Linked DNA regions of Saccharomyces cerevisiae S288C. Changing the gene in region 1 together with any one later gene gives a genetic interaction. Each region holds a gene or a part of one and is shown on either strand. Other genes may lie near its edges.

Region 1 (3,909 bases):
ATATATGACCAATGAAAAAGCAATGCAACGTTGAAGGTGAACTCCTACACTGTAGAATCTCCCAGAGCCATACGCTTGAGGGCATAGAGTATCTAGACTAGTGGCAATACCCTCGAATATCGCTAGTGTTATATTAGAAGTCATGGATGCTAAGGACACAGCTGCTAGTTCATTTTTGCCTAAGTGGCCCACAGTTAATGAACATACCATAGGGAAAATCTGTTCCAATAAGAATGTGAAAATTAGAGGGAAGGAATAAGATGCCAAAACTCTTGCTTCTGATTTGAAGGTGACGTGGCTGTGAGCCAATTCTGCTAGTGCCTCAGAATCGTTCTCGTCGATCTCTTGGTAAATTGTGGGAACTGAGCCTCGGCTAGTCACAGATACGAATGATGGTCTTCTGTGATGTGAGGTGCCTTTAGCGTCTGTTACCGCACTTCGAGTTAATTTCTGTTTCTGAGCTTGGAGTCTATTCATAAATTCGTCATATTCTAGTTCTCTTCCAGAATATTCTTGTATTCTATCTGGTGTGTTGCTTTGACTTGCTTCCTCATTATCAGAGTTGCATACCGATGAGTATCGTCGTTCATGTTCATGTAGAATCCAATCAACATCTTGTGGCGAAAGCTCAGGAGTTTCTGATACCCTTGATGGTAGAGAAATCGTTCTGCTCAGTTCGCCATCTTCTTCATCATGATAGTAAAGGTCAGGTTCCTCATCAATATTACCTAAGTACGGATTTGGTTCATGGACGTTACTTCCAAAATCATCTGTTAAAGATCTGAAACTCCTCTGATCAATATTTCTCGTTCTTGCACGAAATTTTCGTACCAGAGGATTCTTCTTGTTGGGAGGTAGGAAGCCTAGCGATATCCTCCTGTGAGTGTTACCGATACCCATACCATTTGTTCGGAGGGAAGGATGCACTTCTGAAAGAGTCTTTGACAAAATTCCAGCCATTTTTTCAACCTTTTTTTTATCCGTATATATTAAGGTATGCTATATGTGTATTTTCCAATGTTTAGTTTTTATAATAATACTTCTTCAGCATCAAATATGCTTGCTTATGTAAAAATACAATCAAGTTTTGTCCCTTGCTTGCGCGAAGATGAAAACTTCCTTAAGAAATATTCTGCATCGCGTGGAACCCATGGAAGAGGATAATAGCTGACAGTGATATTATGAAAAGATGCCAAATGGTTACCGTTTATAACTGTTACTGGTCGCGTCTCAAACGCCCTCTTTTTTCTCCTTGCATTTGCGTTTCTTTAGAGCAATTATTGAGTAAATGGTCTTGAAAAGAAATAGAAATATCCTTAGGCATTTCAGTTCATCTGAAAACATGCTCCAATACGGGCAAACCATGAACTTGTTGTTATGAAATTAATATACATATAAACCAAAAACATTGCACTACATACTTAAAGAGTGAATACACAGTAGTTTAAAAGACATCTGGCAATTTTTCAATGACGTATGCGTGACCGCCTACGCTCATCAAAGGAATTCCAGGGATTTTTCTAATTCTTTGTTTCAGGCCGGCATCGTTTGTAGCTACGATGTAACACTTATGTTGTAAGACTCGATGCACTAAACAGTCATCCGCGTACGTACCCTTGTGCGAACAGCTTAGTCTCTTTATTCTAGGATCTCGAGCCAGTTTCAAGGCGATACGGTACTTGGGGCCCAATTTTTCTAACTCTGCCATCACACAATCTGTGATTAACGGGTTACATTTTGCGAGTAGACAGTCCATCATTCCTCTAACAATATCGACTTTTTTCTGGATAGAAAAATTTATAAAATTGGTATCTATCAGTACTTGATAAGGTGGCTTTATAGCTTGATTGTATTGAAAGAAAAGTGCACTTGATACTTGTGGTATATTCCTGGTTAGCTCAGGGTCTTCTTTAGTTTTGATATTTTCCTGGTTTTTCTTCAATCTTTGGTCTTTCTTGGTGTTCAAAGTTCTTTTTACGAGGCCAAACTTTCTTGTTTTCTTAGCTTTACCCATAATTAACTGTTGTAGTATATCGATATTTCCGTTACAAGTCACTGTTATTGTGTGTTAATGCACAGTAATGTTTAAAGAGGCATCATTCAAGAATAGTAGCAAGCTGAAAAATTTTAGCCGTTCATAATGATACCTTTAGAAATATGCCAAATTTTTTTGTTATATCTTCCAGTAGGAACCGATAGTTTGAGTAATGTTTATAAAATCATTGCAAGTGAATAAGCAATTAATGGCAATAGTCCACAAACGATAGGTACATGAAGGTGGCTCACAATCAAAAAAATCAAGCTTTAAAATAGTGGATGTAGAAAAAATAAAGTGCGTCACAGACAGGATTCGAACCTGCGCAGGTAAAACCCAATGCCTAATTGCTTTTCTGAGGAAATAGCAGGCATCGCCTTAACCACTCGGCCACTGGGACTGAAACACTTTGAAGTGAAAGTGTTTCTAGTTTTCTATATCATTACTATGGTGAAAATCTATATTTTCTTGATTAGGAATAAAATCATGGAAAGAAGTGTTGGAATAAAAATTCACTATCGTCTGTCAACTAATAGTTATAGTATCAATATACTATCATATACGGTGTTAGATTATGACATAAGTTATGAGAAGCTGTCATCGAAGTTAGGGGAAGCTGAAGTGCAAGGATTGATAATGTAATAGGATAATGAAACATATAAAACGGAATGAGGAATAATCGTAATATTAGTGTATAGAAATATAGATTCCATTTTGGGATTCCTATATCCTCGAGGAGAATTTCTAGTATATTCTGTATACCTAATATTATAGCCTTTATCGACAATGGAATCCCAACAATTATCTCAAAATTCACCCAATTCTCAATTTGATAATTGTTGGGATTCCATTGTAAAGAAAATCGGTATTTCTACATTATAATATTACGATTATTTCTCCTTTTGTTTTTTATGGTTTTCATTACCCTATCACATTATCAATCTTTATATTTCAGATTCCATTAAATTTGATAACTTGGTTGATAGATGACAGTTAATTCTTTTTCCAATAGAAACAACGAAGACTTTTTTCTTACTTTTTGTTGATGTTTTTCAAGTTCTGTTTGACCCGTATTTTTCTACGTTAAAATCGTGATTACTTTACGAATCTTGTTTTCTTATTTTTTTTCGATCTATTTAATGAAATGTGGACAATGGCCCCTAACAAAAAGATGGCAAGGATTGAAATAATCCGTTTATACAATTTATATCCAATTATAGAAATAAAACACATTTGAAGAATGGCTTGGTGGAAAAGTTTATTACATTCTTTCTACGGGAGTTAAACCTAACAAGCGCATACCGTTGTATAAAACTTGTCTTGCAGCACCATATAGAGCCAGACGGGCAGTTGCTAATTCTTCAGTTTGACCAGCAACCCATAAGACGTCATAACAAGAAGAAACCTGGTGAGTCAATTTGAATAAATATGTGACCACGGTTGTTGGCTCGTGGGTTTTGATTGCATTTCTCAAAACATCGGGGTATTGGCCTAGCAGTCTAATCAACAGTTTTGCGGCAGGTTCTTTTAATAACGAAAAATCGGCATTTATCCATTTTTCTTGGGTGATACCAGAAGCATTTCTTTCAACTGATCTTAACCTTGAGTGAGCATATTGAAGGTATGGACCAGTGTCACCTTCGAATGAAAGCATTCTTTCCCATTTAAACTCGTAGTTGTTGATACGCTTACCTTGCATATCTTGAATCATGACGGCAGAGATACCAACTAAATCGGCAACTTCTTCTGGATGCTCAATTTGCGCGTATTTGTTCTCATTCTTTTTCATAACTTCGTGCATTTTTTCCTTAGTTTCCTCCAAGATATTATCTAAGAAGACAACAGTACCTTTTCTTGTTGACATACCTTGGACC
Region 2 (3,309 bases), 1.1 Mb from region 1:
GCAAGAGGGTAAGTTGTGATGAGGTAACAGAAACAGAAGCACCGTCAAATCCGTTCCTAAATGTCCTTAATTATAAAGTAACAACCAACGGCGAGGGCAAACGAGATTCCTTTGAAAATGGTAGAGATTTACACAGAGCTAGTTCCTCAGACGGTATATATATAGCACATCCTTATTATGGGATGGCGGATCACGAATCCGGGAGATTTTCATACGTATCGTCATACAATGAATCTGCGGAGTCATCCATTGAAGAAACAAGTTCCAGTGCGTCTACTATTACTCGGCCAAATATTCAGCAAACCAATAGCTTTTTGAGAGAAATTATTTAAAAATAGAAAAAAGTGGATTCCAAGATTTTCGTACTTCTAAACAAGGCTGGTACTTGTTGCTATTTCTTTGGAATTATTTGTAAATTTATGCACGAAGCAGATAGAGTTTTATTTATTCAACAGTATTTATATAATAAATATTGATCTTACTATACAACTAGATTCGTATAATCGTCTGTTTCGTCACAGACGGGAAAAGAGGGACAAAAAGAGAAAATGTTAAAAATATTATGGCCTATTTTTTGGCGTTCTTCCTCTTTTGAGCACCTTTAGATTTGTTATCATTCTTTTTCGCATTGTCAACTTTCTCAGTCTTTTTACCGGCATTGGCAGCTTCTCTTTCTTCTTGAGCATAAAACTCCTTTAATCTTTTTTGCAAATCCCAGTTACTGTACCACAAACCAATTTGTAGGATGATAACACCGGCAAACATAACTAATAAAATTATGTTGGAGGAAGCAATAACTGCCAAACCCTGATTTTCCGTAACTTCTCCCCAATTATGGCTCACAGAACAGTCGATACCTGTTTTCACATTAGTGAGAAACACACAGATAGCCAACACGTACAACCCCAATGAACAATACTCAAACATCTGCAGTTCAGGGTTTGGCTTGAAAACCTTAATTGTACCACCAACTAAGCCAATACCGGCAACAACGCACAAAGTAACAATCACCGGCAATGGAGTCTCATGTAAAATTTGGTAATGTCTCAGTGCCAAATCGAAATGCTCTTGAGTAGAGTTAGGATTAAATAAAAGATGATAATCGTATGGCATGTTACTGAAGAAAACACCCATTAGGAACGTTGTGGCCGATAAGATCATGGCCGTACCGATAGAACAGAAATCTGAATATGAGAACATCGTTAGAGTTTTATCGTATCACGGGATTTTATGCTCTGTAGTCCAATGAATTTACGGCTGTCTTCCAAAATACTTAAATCTGTCCTTTCATCAACTTTTTATATTTTTCAGAGTTTTTACACAACCCGAAAAAATTGTTATCGTGTATTAATTTTAGTACATTATAAAAAAAGATGGAGAGGGAAAGAGCCACCAATTACATTGGCGAAAGGTGATGGTGTAAAGTAACGGCAACCAAAAACAATTATGGATGGAAAACTTGGTATGAGAGTACTATTATTACGAACTCCACATTAACTCGATTCACCAAGTCCTTTCCCCATACGTTTACCCGGCATTCCTGAAAATTTTCTAAGATTTTTTTCTTCTTAATCGATGAGCTTAAAAGGTTTTCTGAGAAAATGAGAAAGTAATCTAATGTAGAGGACAGGATAGAGATTGAAGACGTCTACAGCTAAAATGGGGTCCGAGGAAGATAAAAAGTTGACCAAGAAGCAGCTCAAAGCTCAGCAGTTTAGAAAAAGTAAGGAGGAAAAAGATCAAGAGAAAGACGTAAAAAAAGAGCAAGCACCAGAAGGAAAAAGACCCAACAGTGCAGCCGGAAATGATGGTGAAGAACCCGTGAAGAAAAAAAGAAAAACACGTAGAGGCCGTGGTGGTAAGGGCAAAAATGGTAAAAAGGGCAACAGATTTATTGTCTTTGTCGGTAGCTTACCTAGAGACATCACTGCTGTTGAATTGCAAAACCATTTTAAAAATAGTTCACCCGACCAGATCCGCCTCAGAGCTGACAAAGGTATTGCATTTTTGGAATTCGATGCTGACAAAGATCGCACCGGCATTCAAAGACGTATGGACATTGCCTTATTACAACATGGGACCTTACTGAAAGAGAAGAAGATCAATGTCGAGCTAACTGTTGGCGGAGGTGGTAACAGTCAAGAGCGTCTAGAAAAATTGAAAAACAAAAACATCAAGTTGGATGAAGAACGTAAAGAGAGGTTGACAAAGATGATTAACGACGGCAACCAAAAGAAAATCGCCAAAACTACCGCCACTGCAGCTCAAACCTCTGGAACAGACAACAAGCCTGTTCCTGCAGGAATTCATCCTGATAGAGCCAAACTACTTAAATGAGTACAAATTTAATTTTATACGCCATGTATCTTAGACAAAAAGAAAATAAAGGGAAAAACATAAATAATCGTGCAGAATCATGCTACTGCCAAAAAAAGAAATGGCAAAGATGCCCAATACGTAAACTCTTCCGGAAGCAATAGCGCCGCATTATTACCGCTGCTCTATTTCACTTTATCATGAAAGACGAGACGGCTGGTACTTTTTTTTCCCCAAATCGGAGCTACTTTTCCGCACTTCAAGTCCGGTGGGAATTTTTACTACTACCCCTTAATCAATGCACTCCCCCCGCAATGACGTACAGGGGTAACATGTCTAACATTTAAGGTTACGGCTGTTAGCATATTGGGGGTTATTTGAATTATAGGAACGCCAAGAAAAAGGACAGAGGGTAAAAACATTCTCGGTGCTGCCGGATTGCTTATTAAGACGTATCCGTTAAACAATCTCCGCTTTTTTTTTTGTCTAACAGCCGGCTCTCTTTGGCTAGTCTCCATCCCTTCGTCACCTTCGGCTGTGGTCACACAATAAGGAAAGGTGCAAAAAAAAAAAATAAATACGAAAATCTGGAAATTGAATTCTTTTCATTAACATTCATTCACTCACTGAACTTATTGTCAATCGGAACATATTTCCTTGCCTTTATGAATTTTTGAAAAGAAAAAAGTTAATAGGAAAAACTAGATAGATTGCAAAAACGTTCACAATAGCGTACGTAATCCTTTTACTTATCATACGGAGTGATGTCGTTGTCTAGAATCCTGCGATATAATCAGAGAAATAACAAAACTACAGCTTCCTTGACTGCAGAACACGCCTATTCCGATAATTGGGCATATTCCGTCTCGTTAGGCGATCCCACTAGTGTTGGTGTGAATATGGCTGCTAAGACGGGTGAGGCGCTAAATAAATCATATGATTCCGTTTTTTCTTCTCTCCCTGTTGCAGATAGTGTACCTCGGACAGACTTTA

Evidence for each region. Genes that interact genetically often act in the same process or in processes that back each other up.
Region 2: mutations in FCF1 (region 1) and NOP6 together harm fitness more than expected from each alone (negative genetic interaction), as found in Saccharomyces cerevisiae (2 studies listed by BioGRID).

Annotation. Positions count from the first base shown.
Region 1 is NC_001136.10:1,148,507-1,152,415, forward strand, and holds FCF1 (rRNA-processing protein FCF1), read right to left. Parts: upstream 2,015-3,909; coding exon 1,445-2,014; downstream 1-1,444. Other genes in the region: YDR338C (uncharacterized protein), read right to left, coding at 1-960; YDR341C (arginine--tRNA ligase), read right to left, coding at 3,297-3,909. UniProt on the Saccharomyces cerevisiae protein: Essential protein involved in pre-rRNA processing and 40S ribosomal subunit assembly. Required for the early cleavage steps of 35S rRNA at the A(0), A(1), and A(2) sites.
Region 2 is NC_001136.10:76,317-79,625, reverse strand, and holds NOP6 (Nop6p), read left to right. Parts: upstream 1-1,659; coding exon 1,660-2,337; downstream 2,338-3,309. Other genes in the region: YDL211C (uncharacterized protein), read left to right, coding at 1-332; SHR3 (Shr3p), read right to left, coding at 568-1,200; serine/threonine protein kinase PRR2, read left to right, coding at 3,081-3,309. UniProt on the Saccharomyces cerevisiae protein: Predicted to be involved in rRNA processing.